Anolis sagrei: one gene and its partner. The protein of the gene in region 1 purifies or fractionates together with the protein of each later gene. This does not show direct contact. Links are inferred from orthologs where the notes say so. Each region holds a gene or a part of one and is shown on either strand. Other genes may lie near its edges. The genes, in order: PTPDC1 and PPP2R2D.

What was found.
Region 2: the proteins of PTPDC1 (region 1) and PPP2R2D purify together in Homo sapiens (affinity purification with mass spectrometry; 5 studies listed by BioGRID and IntAct, counting the BioPlex papers as one, with this or other methods). This does not show direct contact. The link is inferred for Anolis sagrei from reciprocal best matches to the Homo sapiens genes PTPDC1 and PPP2R2D.

What each region holds. Positions count from the first base shown.
Region 1 is NC_090022.1:62,537,923-62,547,424, forward strand, and holds the start of PTPDC1 (protein tyrosine phosphatase domain-containing protein 1), read left to right. Parts: upstream 1-5,895; 5' UTR 5,896-6,376; coding exon 6,377-6,590; intron 6,591-6,846; coding exon 6,847-7,018; intron 7,019-7,990; coding exon 7,991-8,071; intron 8,072-8,260; coding exon 8,261-8,379; intron 8,380-9,102; coding exon 9,103-9,240; intron 9,241-9,502. UniProt on the Homo sapiens protein: May play roles in cilia formation and/or maintenance.
Region 2 is NC_090023.1:191,353,745-191,362,552, forward strand, and holds the start of PPP2R2D (serine/threonine-protein phosphatase 2A 55 kDa regulatory subunit B delta isoform), read right to left. Parts: upstream 4,097-8,808; 5' UTR 3,727-4,096; coding exon 3,720-3,726; intron 3,582-3,719; coding exon 3,477-3,581; intron 1-3,476. UniProt on the Homo sapiens protein: Substrate-recognition subunit of protein phosphatase 2A (PP2A) that plays a key role in cell cycle by controlling mitosis entry and exit. Involved in chromosome clustering during late mitosis by mediating dephosphorylation of MKI67.

The DNA of each region.
Region 1 (9,502 bases):
ACAATCTATATGTATTCTTGAACAAAAAGCTCAACATTTATTCAAATATAATCATGTCATGTTTCTACATATGGTACTCTACCACAGTAAATGATGGATAAATCCTTTACCAAGTAAAGCAGACATCCCCAAAATAATCACACTCAAAAGACCCCAAGAAACCTAAAACAATAAGGGCTGGCAAGTTCTGTGCTCTCACACAGATCAGGTAGTTCCACTGGTGTCACTCCCCTCCCAAACCCATTCTATTAGAGTGTTGTGGCTGCTTCCAGTTACTGGGAGAGCCAACCACTACACTTGGTTGTGATGGGACATGGAAGAAAGCAGCTGGAACACCAAGGGTCTTGACAGGGGTTTTGCTGGAGGACCTAGAAATGCCCAGAGAACCCATATTTTGTTGAATGCGGATAAATTGTGATAGGCGTTTTGGGTTTCTTGGGGTCTTTTGAGTGTGATTCTTTTGGGGGTGTCTGTTTCTGTGGTGAAGGGTTTATTATGCTCTGCTGCATTCTATTACCAATTGCTTTTACTTTTTTTATATGTATAGCTGTCTGAACTATTTACATTTACTTTTTAAATTAACTGCAACAGGCTTATTTTTGAAGTAGGGCTTATATTTTGAACATCCTCAAAAATCCTGAAAAATCATTCTAGGGATTATTTTCAGGGTAAGGCTTATTTTCAGGAAAACGGTACCAAAAATGTTAATCTTTGGCTTCCTCTGGTTTGGATTAACTTGTAGACATAAGTCAATATGTTCTATCCTATTGTTTTTCTTCTGCTTACCTTTCAAGACCCTACAGCCAACATACAACAGATGTAGAAAACATAATCAGTGTTAAATGTTCTGTTTCAACAGGTACTGCAATGGCTGCAGGAGTCCTACTGCAAAATGAATTACCTTATTGTTCTCTGGTAACAAGCAGTGCATATCTTGCAGACATGAATTCAGGTAATCATTTTTTAATACTACATATCTCATGGATGAAAATTTGAAAGAATTCCTGTACAGAACTGAAAAACTAAGAGATGACACCTAAGCTGTTACAAGATTTTGAAGATTTGAAGAAGCTGTATAGTTTTCAAGGCAAGAGGGACCACTTTAATTTTAAATAGAGTAGTGAGAATGTTTTTGTTTTTATTCTTGTGTTACTGCAGCGGAATATAATAAGCTATTTCAGTACAACCCCAGTTTTCATGGAACCAGTATTTGCTCTTTAATTTATCCACATTCAACAAAATATAGTGTCCCTAGGCATTTCTAGGTCCTCCAGCATGACTCTGTGCTATTCCTGGGCCAGAAGTACTTCATTTGAATAGTATTTGTGATTATCTGTGGTTTTGGAACATATCCATGTGGTTATGAGAGTTTTACTTTACTCCCATTTTACAGATGAGAACTGGAAGCAAATAGGGTATAACTTTCAAGTCATAGCTATGGCAGAGCCGAAACATGATTTTGAGTCTCCTTTATCTTAAGTTTCCCTTATCTGTTCTAAGATACCAATGGGTACAAGAAATATGCCCCCCTTTCTTTCTTGTACCCACTGGTATCTTAGATCAGAGTTTTTCAAACTGTACTCTTCCAGATGTTCTGGACACCAGATGTTCTGGACACCAATTCCTAACCGCTGGTAAACTGACTGGGATTTCTGGAAGCTGAAGTCCAAAACACCCAGAGAAGCACTGTTTGAGAAATACTGTCTTAGAAAATATAGTGTTCTTTTGATATAAATAAAAGTATGTTCCTGGAAGAATAGCTTATACTTTCCTTCAGCTGAAATGTGAGTGTTTTTGAAAGCAGTCCTATACAGCTGTACCAGGAAGGAAGTTTTGTTGACCTTGATGCTTATTAATTTTGAATAAACAGCATAGAATTGCACTGTGAACTTGTCTCCCTTAGTCAACATGTTGTGCCAGTTACCTATCCATTCTTCATGTCTAGTCATAAGCGCAGCACATATCTTACATACAATTTATTTTTTATCTGTGATCCTATGTTACCTTGACAGTTTCAGGATCCTATTTATTTTTATGCACTGTTCTTGAGGATTGAAAACATGTATGGAATCATATGTAGGAAAGCTGTGTCTTACTGCTGTAGCACCAAACCTTTATCTCAGCTGGGCAGCTGCATAAATAGCCTAGCAGTAGACCAGTCCGACTTCATTCACCATCTTACTGTGGACGTGTAGTTGTAACAGAATTTAGATCTAGTATGGCTTCCATCTTCAGAAAAAGTTCTTCTGTGACTTTCTAGAGGCACTTTTACAAAGGGGGTTGGGTAGGAAATGGGCAGCTGTAGCAGAATCATTAATGAAATGATAACATTGTGCAAGTGGAAAACAAAATTAACAGAATGACAGATTATCACTATCATAACTTCTTTTAAGTCATAGTTTGAACAAAATGCTTTAACGGTAGACCCTGCCCAAAAGTTGCACAAATTGGTAATTCTTGGTCTTTTTGTCTCTCCAGAACAAGGGTTCTCAAACTATTTCAGCTGTGGAGCCTTTTTTGAAACAAAAGTTTATTGTGGAGACCTAAGAAACATTTATATATTATCTACTATATTATCTAATATATTATGCATAATATATATATCAGGCATGGGCAAACCTTTGGACACAGGGGGCTGTCATGCGTTTTAAAATTTGACAGATGGGCAGGGCCAGTGGCAGATGGATGGAGAGTGTTTGTGTGAAGTAATTGGGGGGCAGAGGGACACAGATTCCTATGCACATTGCACATATCTCGTTTGTTGTGCAAAAAGAAAGAAAGAAAAATACAATATTTAAAAGGAAGAACAATTTTCACCAACATGGAAGACCCCAGGGGGCATCCAGTCCAACTCCCTTTTGCCATGCAGGAAAAGCACAATCAAAGCACCCCCTGAGAGGTGGGAGGAAAATAGGGGTTTGGAAGCAAAGAAGAGGTAGAAGGATGTTGAGGAAAAGAGCTTGTGCAGCAAGGGAGGCAGAGGAGAAAGAGTCTGTGCCCTGGAGGACGTTGCTGCTATTTCCAGCAGCTCAAAACTTTAATTTCTCTGCATTTCTCAGGAGGAGGAAATCACTCCTGGAGCCCCAAGGACTCCACAGAGCACAGTTTGAGAACCCCTGCTCCAGACAGTAAACATTGCTTCCTAAATATCTGATGTGGCTGACTAACATTTCTTTTCCACTGTGCCAGGGGCTGGTACCAGATTTATCCCTGTGCCAGTTTCATTAAATGTACAGTGTACAACATAGGTGTTAAAATAACATCCCGATTTCAGTGAACTCCATATGTTACATACATTGTAGACAAACTGATTATGTTATATCTTGTCAAAAGATAACCCAAACAGAATCACAAAGAGGAATTGGTATATTTTGGAAATGAGAATGAACTGGCTCTTCCGGAAGTGCTGCGGCTGTTGGGTTCCTGTACTCCAGAGCCACTGGTCTTTCTCTTGGCTTCTTCTACAGCTGAAGCTTCTTCGTTGCCACTCAGAATCCAACAGCCACCATGTCAAGCAAAAGGGCAAAGACCAAGACCACAAAGAAGCACCCTCAGCGGGCTACTTCCAATGTATTTGCTATGTTTGATCAGTCCCAAATTCAAGAATTCAAAGAAGCATTTAACATGATTGATTAAAACAGAGATGGCTTCATTGACAAAGAAGACCTGCATGATATGCTTGCTTCACTTGGGAAGAATCCAACTGATGAATATCTAGATGCCATGATGAATGAAGCTCCCGGACCCATAAATTTTACTATGTTTCTCACAATGTTTGGAGAGAAATTAAATGGCACTGATCAGGAAGTTGTAATCAGGAATGCCTTTGCTTGCTTTGATGAAGAAGCAACAGGCTTCATTCAAGAAGATTATCTGAGAGAATTGTTGATGACAATGGGAGACAGATTTACAGATGAAGAAGTAGATGAGCTGTTCAGAGAGGCACCAATTGATAAAAAGGGCAATTTCAGCTACATTGAGTTCACACGCATCCTTAAACATGGAGCAAAAGACAAAGATGACTAAAATAGAACTCTTCCCTCTGCAGTTCTCTTTAGATCTCACTTGCGGTTATTTGAGGGTTTTTTCCTGGTAGAACCTGTTGCTTGCATTTAGCTTTACAGCTTTTGCCTTTCTTGATGTATTTATCTATACCAGGCCATTCTGGCCCACTTTGCACCTGTGTAATCAGGCTGGCAATAGGGATTGTGATTGTGATAAAAAGAATTGGAGGGCAGGACCAATGACTGAGGGCCCAGGAAAAAAAGTCTCAAATTTTCTGGTTTAGCTGGATTTTTACATTTTGTAATAATGCCATTTTGAAATAAGATTGCTATATCAATAAAATACCTCAAATGCTGAGAATGAAATGGCATCTCACATGGGGGAAAATATATCAAAATCCATAATTTTGTCCCCAAATCTTTCCCTTGACTTATACATGAGGCTGATGTATATGTGGATATTAAAATACATTTTATCCCTGTGCTAGTTAATTGCTATTAACATATGTTAATTAATAGCAAACAAGGCTGAAAAAAGCCAACCTTGTTTGACATTCAGCAAAACTACAAATCCCTTTGTTTTAAACATTCTAAAAGTTTGAATGTACCCATAATAAAAAAAAACTTTGCTGCTTGATATACAAAATCCAAAAGTCAAGCATTTTGGCCATCAAACTGTAAATAATAAACTTGATAATTTATTCTCTGTAATAATACATCTAAATCTGACAGGCTTTTGTTTCATCCCTGTCTAAAAGCTGTACCAGCCTTTCCTGAATCAAGAGTGGGGTTGAAAGTAATTATGCCTACCTATCATGAAAGTTAAAAAAGAAGCTTTTTAAAATTTTGTTATACAGATCTCTATTTTGGGTGACTAAATTGACAGAGCATTGATTACTGTACTTTGCTGTTTCCCCAGTGCCTCCTCCACAGGTACATTTGTGAATGAATGTTACAAAGACATGATACATGTTCAGTTTTTCTGTGTTCTAAAATAATCTTTCTCTGTACTGATTAACCCAAACTTCCCACTCTAGCTTTTGTTAGTTCTTATTATCTAAAAATTTTAAAACATGCCAGGAGAATCAAGTATGAATTGTGACATCCATATAAATATCTGATCTTTCAGAAGCAAAACTTAACTTATTTTTGTCCTTTAGCAAGGATTAGGAAGAGGAAAGACATGTCAGGTTATAACATCAGCAAGACTGCCCAATTCATTTATGTCTTCTTCCACATTCGGGCCTGCAAATCATGGAAAATGTTGAAGCTTACACCAAAGAGGAGGTTCAGAATGTAACTGACTATTAGTTTGGCTAATAAAGTTTAGTAAATCATTTGTTTCTCCATATGCTGTAATTTAGCATTTATGATAGGCTAGACTATTTGGCTTGTTTTGCTGTAAAATCATATCTATGAATTTCAGCCTTTTTTGTTTGTTTTGGAAAGTCCTCGAGTGACTTCTAGTGGTTTCCAACAAAAATCTGTCCTCAAAGAACTTCTATTCGGTGTTTTATCTGATAGCCCTATTTATCAGTGAAGTTTTCTCACTTTTGGGTTTTTCTTTTCTTTTTTGGTTTGTTTGCTCTGACTACCTATGTAGAGGTTACTGCTGAAGCTGAAGTCAGCAGATATGTAAATCCATGTTTGGATTACTGAACTATTGTTTTGCTAATAAGAGCTCCCTTTGTTTTTCTGTTCAAGTGAGGAGGACTAATTTCCCTATTCGTGCATTTTTCTGTTTCACTTTTGAAATTGTTTCTATACATTTTCTTAACATGTTTCATTGTGCCTTTTCTTGCTACTTATATAATGCAAATGAACTGGATACTTTACAATCTTTTTTAAAAAAAACTTTTTATTTCAGTATGATACATAAATGTACTGTGTTAGAAAATGATCATGTGGCATTTTCCAGAGAAAGGCTATTTTCTCCTGTAAAATACTCCACATAGTTCAGATTTTATTCATGACACTTCAGTTGAGATTTCTTGAACACTATTAGTTTCAAAGTATGTGCTATAGAGAAGCTGCCTCTTATCCAAGAAGAGCATTTATTCAAGACTCTTTAACTTTTCCCTTTTCATATGAAACTATTTGGGAGTTCTTGACCCATTGGGAATAATCTGCTTTGAGCGATTGTAATCCAGCAGGAAACATTGTGTGTCCCACACAGAATCAATTGATATAGGATTTTTCAGTGAGTTCATTGTTGGTTTCCATGGAGACTAGCCAGCCTATCGGGAGCAGCCATTAGATCATACAGAAAGATGCATGTCTCTTTGTAAGTTCAGTACTGAGCAAGTCAGATTCCTCGCTCGGCTTGACTTCCTCCAGCATATCCAAGCTGCTGCAAGTAGTGGCTACCGATCATGCAAGGCTCACCCAGGAGACGCCTGACAGTGAATATTTTCAGCAACTTTTTTCAGGGTCGGAGACATTCTTCCTCCGATCCTCTTCTCCGCGTACTTCATAGGCGACGGAGTTCAGTGGTAGAGGTCCTCTCAACTTCTACACACAGAGTTATGGTGGCAATTTCCTCCGTAAACCCAGAGGAATTAAATGCTGCTTTCTATGAGAGAAAAAGTAAAGTATTGGCAATTTCCTTTGTATGAATTATGCTTGGACTTTTATTGCTCTGTGTCAATGTATCTGTGGTCTTTTTGCTATAACTAAGCAGAGATGAATGTTTGAGTCACTTTATATCATTAAAAAGGTTAATTTATTTTTTTTCAAGCATTTTTGGGTAATACTTTGCAACTGTCATTTTGTAAAGAAAAAGAAAAAATGTAGGAGTTATATCTTCTTGAAAGATTTTGTTTGGTCTTGAATTTTGTTGCAGGAAGGTCTAGGCGTCCTACGGCAAAATACACAAAAGTTGGAGAGCGTCTTCGCCATGTCATCCCTGGTCATATGCAATGCTCTATGGCATGTGGTGGCCGTGCTTGCAAATATGAAAACCCAACTCGATGGAGTGACCAAGAACAGGCTGTTAAAGGGCTCTATTCTTCCTGGTAGTGTGCAGTATTTGCTTCTGCTAGACTTTTAAAAAAATCATGTGAATATCTAAATCTCTGCTCTTTTACACCTCAGTTTTAAGTCCTGTCGAACTGACTTCTCAGTAAATAAGTTTCAGATTAGATTGTGTGTATGTGTATGTACTTTCAAATTGCCTGTCCACTCATGGTGACCCCATGAATTTTATAGGGGTTTTTAAGGCAAGGAATACTCAGAGGTTGTTTTGTCAGTTCTTTCTCTGAAATATAGACTACAACACCTAGTATTCCTTGACAGTCTCCCATCCAAACACTAATCAGGATTGACCCCACTTAGCTTCCAAGATCAAGCAAGAGCCTACTTTCAGAAAAAAATTATATACAGATTTGGGTTAGTCATCTTTCATATACGTAAACCAGCTAAATGAAGCGTGACTAACAAGTAACCATGCATGAACCATATAAATATGGTTAGGAAAGCTCTAGGTCTTGGGTTCATGCTTAAATTGTGAAAAATGGTGTGTGATGTCTAGACTATTATTTATTTCAATAGGATGTCAATCACAGTAAACCTGTCATATCGATTTCAAAAGGAATCTTCAAAAAACAGACTGGATCCAGCTCCTGGCTACAGTTCAGTGCATGGCTTTTCTTATAGAAACATTCAACCAGGAGCTTAAATTGTATAAACCATTTTATAAAGCTGTTAAAAGAACACTTTAAAAGAATGTGTAATTATTTGCTATGATGGATATAGAAATGTATGCATATCCTGTGTTACGCACATTCTAAATATCACAAGCTTTTGGCACCCTAATGGCATTTTGTTATGTAAAGTGTTCCAGCTACATAGGGATAAAAGGCGTTTAATGGCTTGAAAGCACATAGTTAGCTAAATTGTCATGGCTTATTAGCTAGAAAATTACCTACGAATACCGAATCTGAAATATTTTAACCCCTAACTTTTCACTTCTTTCCCCACATTCTCAGGGTTACAGATAATATTTTAGCCATGTCTCGACCCTCAACAGAACTTATTGAAAAGTATAATATTATTGAACAGTTCCAAAGGTAAAATGACTATATTGGAATAAATTGCTATATTTTTCTGTTTGTAAAGCAAGTGTATTGTTCCTTTCCTGGCTTTGTTTGGATTGTTTGTGACATTTTATTTGAAGTTAAGAAGGAACATTGGAGGGTTGGGGGAGAGACTGAATGTGTGCCTAGTTCAGTAATGCCTCATCTTGTTCTTTGCCTAAGATGTGGTATAAAAACAGTAATTAACCTCCAACGTCCTGGGGAACATGCTAGCTGCGGGAATCCACTGGAACAAGAGAGCGGTTTCACCTACCTTCCTGAGGCTTTCATGGAGGCGGGAAGTAAGTTTGTTCCTGCTGTTGTTCCTTATAATTATAAAGCATGGTGCTGCAGGCTGTTACTGCCACCTACTTCCTAGGTTAAAAGCAGCGAGTTGATGAATATTTGCTTAAAAAGACAACTTGTAGAGAATGGGAAGTAAAGCATGCATTGATCCAGTGTGGAAGCATGATAGTAAATTAGTAAACTGCCTGCAGTAGGTGGGTATCAGTGCTTAGTAGTGATGCTGAATCTGTGATAGTATTGTATACTGACAAGATCACAATTGCATGCAGATTCCATTGTCTTTTGCTTCTTCAGGAAGGCTTCCTTCCCTGTCCCACAGAAAATGCCACATTTTTCAAATTGAGAAGACTTTCAATTGTTTGAGAAAGATGTCATTGAATTAGGGATGTTGTTATTTTTAGGCAAAATGTTATATTGTTCCTATTTAAGTGTATTCTGTTTGGAGAGGTTGCATACACATGTGTGCTCAACTCATTTTGTTTTATCATAGGTCTTCTAAATCAAGATTTCTGGGAAATACATTGTCTGATTTACAAGTGGAATTTAGAGTTCAAAGAGAAATTCCAAAATGCAGGAAACAAAAATGTTGTTCTTAAATCTGCTCAGATCTCTTTTTGAATACAAATCTTAACACTATTTGTGTTATAATACAATACATTACACTGTTTAGGGTCTTCTGATGGTGATAACACTATTGTTCTACAATATTTTCTTTCTAGTTTATTTTTATAACTTTGGATGGAAGGATTATGGCGTGGCCTCTCTCACAACTATCCTCGATATGGTAAAAGTGATGACTTTTGCCTTACAGGAAGGGAGAGTAGCTGTTCATTGTCATGCAGGACTTGGCAGAACAGGTAAAGATACTAAACTACAACATCAATGGAAACCTGTTTTTCTGAAATTCAAAGTAGTGTACACAATGTATGAGCCTTACTAGATTGTTCAACACTCTGTACATATGTATAATGTGTATTCTGACAGAAAGCAAGCACAAAGTACACATTTTTAACTGCTGCTTGCATGCCTACATTTATATTCCAATGTTCTTTATGGAATATGTGCCACAAAACACTCAAGATGTTCTTTGATTTCAGTTAGCAGGTTGAGAATTTGGCA
Region 2 (8,808 bases), on another chromosome or scaffold:
AATCCAGTTCAAAGCCGATAATATGGATTTCATATGGTGGCACAATGATTTAACCCTTGTGCTGGCAGGACTGCTGACAGGTCAGTGGTTTGAATCTGGGGAGAGCAGGTTGGTCTCCCTCTGTCAGCTCCAGGTCCCCATGCGAGAAGCCTCCCACAAGGATGGTAAAAACATCAAAAGTCCAGGCATCCCCTGGGTAACATCCTTGCAGACAGCCTATTCTCTCATACCAGAAGGGACTAGCACGACTGGTAGTTTCTCAAGTCGCTCCTGACACGAAAAAATGCAGAATTATGCAATGGATTCAAATGGCAGGAAAAGACAAGGAAGAACCTCCTGATGGTAAGAATAGGGGCCCTTCTACACAGCCATATAACCCAGAATACCACGGTAGAAAGTCCCAGAAATCTGCTTTGAACTGGGTTATCTGAGTCCACACTGCCATATATTCCAGTTCAAAGCAGAAAATATGGGATTTTATTCAGCTGTGAGAATGGAGCCGCAGTTCAAATCAGATATTGTGGGATTTTCTGCCTTGATATTCTGGGTTAAATGGCCATGTGGAAGTGCTCAGAGGCCCCTTCCACACAGTTGAATAAAATCCCAGATTATCTGATTTGAACTGAAATATATAGCAGTGTTGACTCAGATAATCCAGTTCAAAGCAGATATTGTGCGATGTTCTGCTTTGATATTCTGGGACATAGGGCTGTGCGGAAGGACCCTGAGTCCAAACTACTATATATTCCAGTTCAATATGGGATTTTATTCAGATGTGTTGAAGGGGCCTGGGATGGAGGCTTTGATCCCTTCTATGCTGCCGTATAATCCAGGTTATCAAAGCGGATCATCCACATTATCTGATTTGAACTATGTTATATGAATCTACATTGCCCTATATGGCAGTTTTCTGCAATGGACTCAAATTGCAGGAAAGATATTCCATCTAAACGTGAGGAAGAACCTCCTGACGGTAAGAGAAGGGATCCTTCCACACAGCCATATAAGCCAGGGATTTCCACAAAGCTCTATATCCCAGAATATCAAGGCATAAAACCTCACATTATCTGAATGTGGACTCAGATAACCCAGTTCAAAGAGATATTGTGGAATTTTCTGTCTTGATATTCTAGGATATAGGGCTGTGTGGAATGGCCTCTTGAATATCAAGCCAGAAAATCCCACAGTATCTGCTCTGAACTGGGTTATCTGAGGCCCCTTCCACACAGCTGAATAAAATCCCTCATTATCTGCTTTGAACTGGGATATATGGCAGTGTGGACTCAGATATTTTGGGATATCGGGGTGTGTGGAAGGACCCTGAGTCCACACTGGCATATAATCCAGTGTAGACCCACACAGCCCTATATCTCAGAATTTCAAAGCAGAAAATGCTACATTATCTGAGCATGGACTCAGATAATATAGTTCAAGGCAGATATTGTGGGATTTTCTGCCTTGGAATCCTGGGATATAGGGTGTGTGGAAGGGCCCTGAGTCCACACTGGCATATACCGTATATACTCGAATATAAGCCGACCCAAATATAAGCTGAGGCATCTAATTTTACCACAAAAACTGGGAAAATGTATTGACTTGAGTATAAGCTGAGGGTGGGAAATGCAAAATAAAAATAGATACCAATAAAATTACATTAATTGAGACTTCAGTAGGTTAAAAGCTTTTGAATATTTACATAAAACTGTAATTTAAGATAAGACTGTCCAACTCCGATTAAACCATGATTCTCAACTTCTTCCATGTAAATGTGCTCATCTATCCTTCCCATAATAATTAAGAGAGTAAAATAATATATGTAATAATAATAAATAGAGAAAAATAATAAATGCAATATAAACAATCATAGAGAAAAATAATAAATGCAATAATAATAATAGAGTAATTTTTTTTTGTCGTGTCAGGAGCGACTTGAGAAACTGCAAGTCGCTTCTGGTGTGAGAGAATTGTCTGTCTGCAAGGACGCTGCTCAGGGGACGCCCGGATGATTTGATGTTTTTATCATCTTTGTGGGAGGCTTCTCTCATGTCCCCGCATGAGGAGCTAGAGCTGATAGATGGAGCTCATCCACCTCTCCCTGGATTTGAACCTGCAACCTGATGGTCTTCAGTCCTGCCAGCACAGGGGTTTAACCCACTGTGCCACCGGGGGCTCCATATAGAGTAAAATAATAAAAGTAATAAAATAATACTAATAACAGAGTAAAATAATAAATAATCTCGATTCGAGTATAAACCAAGGGGAGCTTTTTCAGCCTAAAAAGGGGGCTGAAAATCTAAGCTTATACTTGAGTATATACAGTAATCCAGTGTAGACCCAGGGCCCTTCCACACAGCCCTATATCTCAGAATTACAAAGCAGAAACTCCCATATTATCTGAGTGTCAACTCAGATAACAGAGTTCAAAGCCGATATTGTGGGATTTTCTGCCTTGATATCCTGGGATATAGGGCTGTGTGGAAGGACCCTCATTTATTTATTTATTTGGTAGTTTTGTATACCGGTCTTCTCACCTCCATTCGAGGGACTCGGGCCGATTTCCAACATCAATATTACAGACCGTCATTAAAACATCATATTTCTAAATAACACTAACACATTAAAACATTGAAACAATTAAAATAGCAAAAATACAATCATATGATTACAGTGGTCAGTCGTCATTAAAGTCATTATTCGTCGTCATCCATCCATATCACAGGATCATGGCTCATTCGTTGAATGCCAATCCCCAAAGCCAGGTTTTCACCTGTTTCCTGAACGTTAAGATCGAAGGAGCAGTTCTGGTCTCCAGTGGAAGGGAGTTCCAGAGTCGAGGGGCCACCACCGAGAAGGCCCTGTCTCTCGTCCCCATCAGCCGCGCCTGTGAGGCCGGTGGGATCGAGAGGAGGCCCCTCCAGACGATCTTAGTAATCTTGATGGCTCATAAGGGAGGATACGTTCAGACAGGTAAATTGGGCCGGAGTCCTTTAGGGCTTTATAGGTTAAGACCAGCACTTTGAATTGTCCTTGGAAGCTGACTGGCAGCCAGTGGAGCTGGCGCAACAGAGTAGTATGCTCCCTGTACCCCACTCCCATTAGTAACCTGGCTGCCGCACGTTGTACTAATTGAAGCTTCTGGGCAGTATTCATGCAGTTATTAAACTATATGGCTGTTTTCTGCAATAGATTAAAACTGCAGGAAAAAGATATTCCACCTAAATGTGAGGAAGAACCTCTTGACAGTAACACTGGGATGGAGGCTTTGAAACACGAGGGTGGGTGGCCATCTGTCGGGAATGCTTTGGTGGTGTGCTTGAGCATGGCAGCGGGGGGGGGGGGGGGGGGGCTGGAGGGCCCTTGCAATCTCTTTCAGCGTTGTGATTCTTCAAATAAACCTGAACGAGCGCGGGGGAAGCGGTGTGATCATAACGCTTTCCCCTTGTAGGGTGAGAGGGCAGGGGGAGCGAGGCCTTTACCTTCCGCCACGTCCTCGTCGATGGCCCCCTTGACCTGGGAAAAGCACCACTGGAAGTCGTTGCTGCCGCCGCCGCCGCCTCCTCCTCCTCCTCCGCCGGCCACTCCTGCAAGCGAGGGAGGAAAGAAAGAGAGCGCTGAGGTCCAGCCACCCCGCCAGGCCCTGAAGGCGCCTCCCCGGCGACTAGGCCCAAGCCCACTGCCCTGCCGCCGGCCCAGGGCCCTCCTCTCCGGCCTCGCCTTACCTGCCATGTCGCGCGGCGCGTGCCGGCCGGAGACTGGCCCTTCTGCCAAGCCCGCGAGGCCCAGGCACCCACCGGGGCGGGAGGCTAGAGACGCCGCTTCGGCTTCCGCTTCTGCCGCTGCTTCTGCTGTGGCGGCCAGCGCCGCCGCCGCCGCCGGAGGTTTGGGGGTTTCAAAATGGCGCCCATTGCCGGTCAGCCTGATCCGGTGACGTCATCCCTCCGCCAGCCTCCGACGGGCGGGGGGAAGAAAAAGAGGGCGCGAGGAGGATGGAGAGACTAGGCCCGGAAGGGAGGGAGGGAGGGAGAGCCCGGGATTGGGCCAGGGAGGCGCACGAGCCGGCCGGCCTGCCTCGGAGTTTCTCCTTCCCTGCTTCCCCTAAGGCGGTCGAAAAAAGAAGGAAAAAGCGGCTTCTCGCCCGCCCGAGGCACAAAAAGACCTTCCCCCCCTAGTGGAGAAACCTGGGCATGAATGAGGCTGGCGTGGTTGGCGTCGCCGCCTGCCTCCAATTTGGGCAGAGGCAAAGGAGAGGCAAGGAAAAGTTGCTCATCGGGACTGCAGAATGGCCCCTTCCACACAGCTGAATAAAACCCCACATTATCTGCTTTGAAGTGGAGTATATGGCCGTGTGGACTCAGATAACCCAGTTCAAAGCAGATATTGTGGGTTATTGGGTTGTTGTAGGTTTTTTCGGGCTATAGGGCTATGTTCTGGAGGCATTATCTCCTGACGTTTCGCCTGCATCTATGGCAAGCATCCTCAGAGGTAGTGAGGTCTGTTGGAATTAGGAAAAAGGGTTTATCTATGGAATGACCAGGGTGGGACAAAGGACTCTTGCCTGCTGGAGCTGGGTGTGAATGTTTCAATTGACTACCTTAGGAGCCCCCGGTGGCGCAGTGGGTTAAACCCTTGTGCCGGCAGGACTGAAGACCGACAGGTCGCAGGTTTGAATCCGGGGAGAGGCGGATGAGCTCCCTCTATCAGCTCCAGTTCCTCATGTGGGGACATGAGAGAAGCCTCCCACAAGGATGATAAAAACATAAAAAATCATCCGGGTGTCCCCTGGGCAACGTCCTTGCAGACGGCCAATTCTCTCACACCAGAAGCGACTTGCAGTTTCTCAAGTCGCTCCTGACACGACCAAAAAAACCCCTGACCACCTTGATTAGCATTTGATGGCCTGGCAGTCCCTGGGGCGATCTTTTGTTGAGAAGTGATTAGATGTCCTTGTTTGTTTCCTCTCTGTTGTTTTGCCATTTGGAGCCATGGAGAAGAAGAACTAAACAGTTCCTGGACCATCTGAACAGCATCCAACCAAATATACAATTCACCATGGAAAAAGAAAATGAAGGAAGACTGCCTTTTCTAGATGTCCTACTCATTCGTAAACCAGATCAACAATTGGGTCACACCGTTTACAGAAAACCCACACACAGAGATAGATATCTACACAAAAACTCCAACCATCACCCAAGTCAAAAAAGAAGCATCATTAAAGTCTTTGCAGACTGTGCAAAAAAATCTGCGAAGCCCACCTCCTCCAAGGTGAATTGAACCACCTCAACTGGGCTCTCCAGGCCAATGGATACTCCACCTCAGACATCAGAAGAGCTGCAAGACCGAGAACAAGCCATGAGAGTCAAGACAAAGACCCACCCATAGGAAAAGCGTTCTTGCCATACATCAAGGGAACCACTGACCGCATTGGGAAGCTGATGGGGAAACATAACATACAAACTATCTACAGACCCACCAAGGAAATCCAACAAATGCTACATTCAGCAAAGGACAAGAGGGATCCTCTCGCCTCTGCAGGAGTCTACCGTATACCATGCAGCTGTGGACAAGTCTACATAGGGACCACCAAACGCAGCCTTGCCCAAACACGAATCAAGGAACATGAAAGGCACTGCAGACTACTTCAACCAGAGAAGTCAGCCATAGCAGAGCACCTGATGAACCAACCTGGACACAGCATTTTATTTGAGAACACAGAAATGCTGGACCACTCCAACAACCACCATGTCAGACTACACAGAGAAGCCACTGAAATCCACAGTCATGTGGATGATTTCAACAGAAAGGAGGAAACCATGAAAATAGACAAAATCTGGCTACCAGTATTAAAAAACCTCTAAAATTACAATAGCAAAACAACAGAGAGGAAACGAACAGGGACATCTAATCACTTCTCAACAACCTGTCCAAATGTATCTTCCCATATGAACCATCTCTGAGATTAAGATCATCTGGAAAGGCCCTGCTCTCAGTCTCACCTCTTTAAGCGCAACTGGTGAGGATGTGAGACAAGGCCTTTTCAGTGGTGGCCCTTCAGCTATGGAACTCCCTCCCCAGTGACATTGGATCAGCCCCCTCCCTCCTAGCCTTCAGAACAAAGGTAAAAACGTGGCTGTTGGATCAGGCTTTCAGAGAATAGTGCAGTGCAATGAACAGATTTGAAATATATGGAATGACTATGGAATGGCTTGGACTACGACTATAGGTGGCGTAATTTTAATATGGAATGTAATGTTTTTAAATGTTTAATATGTTTTAATTTAATTTTAATTTTTGGCATTGTATATGTTTTAAGGCATTGCATAATTGCTTCTATGTAAGCCACCTTGAGGCAGGGTGTAAATAGTTTAAATGAATAAATAAATAAATGTTGGATTTTATTCAGCTGTGTGGAAGGGGCCTCTCTCTTGGCCCTTCCACACAGCCATATAACGCAGAATATCAAAGCAGATAATCCACAATATCTGCTTTGAACTGGATTTTCTGAGTCCATACTGCCATATAATCCAGTTCAATGTGGATTTTATACAACTGTGAGGAAGGAGTCCCTGACTTGTCTTGTCAGAAGGGTATGACTTTGTTCTGGCATCCATTTACAGTAGACTCGGGTTCCTTCCACACAAATGTATGAAGATAACGAAATACTCTGTATGCTTGCATGGGAGAAAGAGAGATTAAAGTGCAATGTATTTTTAATAGGAGAAAATGGTCCCGTATGCATTAATAGATAGAACTATACCGTATAAAAATAGAAGTGGGTCCCTGCTTGCCGAAACACCGGTGAATGGAACATGCCATGCTAAATTGCTCCTAAGCATCCTTATCTTTATGTTATAGGGTAGCTGCTGAATAGGATATGCCTTTTTGATATCAATTCTGATACTACCAAGAAAATATAAGAGTTTATATAACACAAATTTTAAGTGTTGGTGAAGAAGGTAAAATGTAAGCAAACCCACTTCTGCTTGTAATTGTTGCAAAGAATGCTTCCAAGATTATATAAGTTTCAGCATTGTCATCTTCCTCCTGCCCACAGCATAAATATTTGAATCATTCCCCAGTCCTTCAGCCAGAACAACTTGTTCTTTGGATCATTACACACATGTTGCTGCTGTCTTCATGAAACCTTGGCATGGCCTGTAAGATCCCAATTTTAAAGTGGTCTCCGGCAGAAGGACAGTTTTGCAGTGGCCAGTGGAGTTATATGTGTTGTGTGCCTTCAACTCATTTCTAGCTTACAGAGACTACCAAAAGGTGAACATATCTGTGCAGGTACAACTGTACCAGTAGCTCCAATTTTGTTTGCTTAGCATTGAATGTTTGTTGCAGTCCTAAGTTTCAGGGACTCTGCAGATAGGTGGCTTCTTTTGGCTGCAATCATAGGGCAAGCCACCTGTCAATTATTGTTAGGCTCCCTGGTCCCGCCCCTTTTTGAGTTTTAGTGGGAATAGGGGCCATTTTGAGTTCAGTTCTCACAGAGAAGCCTTTCGCACAGGACATAAAACGAAGAGCTCATGTAGAAAGCTTTGTCTTCTACGGCTTGGCCGGGGAGATATACAGCCTACAGCTTGGCCCGGGAGAAAAGGCCCCACAGCTTGGCTGAGGATTTTACAGCCTTACAGCTCCTTTGCTGAGGGACTTCGGCCAGCCATCACAGCAACCTGAACTCCTTCTTTTCCCCTGGAAGTCTACAAAGCTCTGCTTGGCAAGGGTCGCTCGTGGAAGCCAGACACAGTTGGTACCGGGTGCAGGGGCTCCACGCCAACAGAGGCAAGTACAGACTGCCCAGATTAGAAGTTAAGGATTTCCCCATTAGTTAGTATACAGTTATGAAGATAGTGCCTGTTCCCAGTGAACAAGACTGCAAGAGCCAATAGACTGTTAAGAAAGCTTTAAAGTACCTGTTTGTTTGTTGGATTTTGAACTTTGTTGGATTTACTTTAAGCCTCTACAGAACTTCGTTTTGGGGAGGTCCAAGGGCCTTTAATCTGAGGCAGCCCCGGCGTCCCATTGGGCACACAGAATTTATGTCCCGTCTACAGTCATATGCACAGGCCCAGCGTGCGACAGCACAATATCATTTCATTTTCTTGGCAAGGTTTGTCCAGATGAATCATAGAGTTGGAAGAGACCATAAGGGCCATCACGTTCAACACCCTGCTATGCAGAATCACAATCAAATATGGTGTTTACTTTTGCCTTCCTCTGAGACTGAGGCCCCTTCTACACCACCATGCAAAATTCTGATTATCTGCTTTGAGTATCTGGTGGTATAGACTCTTATAATCCAGTTCAAAGCAGATAATTTGGATTATCTGCTTTGATAATTGGATTGCGTGGCAGTGTAGAAGGGGCCTTAAAGACACAACTAGCAGAGTAACATTGTAGTAGTATTTAATTAACATTGATTATGGGATTGAATTCAGACAGGATATCCCATTGTGAGGTGCAGTTCAAGCAGGTTCAAGAAAAATCCTTTAGTGGGCTAGCCAGGCCCGTAGCCAGGATTTTGATTTGGGGGGTGCTGAGTTTGATTCGGGGGGGGGGGGGGTGAGTTGGATTCAAGGCAGGGGGCTGAGGATCTACCCTAGCAAACCTTTTGTATTGTTATCCCAATAGCCCCATGCATATGGGATATATTGAGCATGGTGATCAGATCATAATATGAATAAACATAACAGTTTAAATAATGCACCAGTAAGGCCTTCTCGCGGACCACCCTGAGAATTTCGGAGGGGGCTGAAGCCCCTCAACCCCCCCCCCCCCCCCGCTACATGCCCGGGGCTAGCAGTA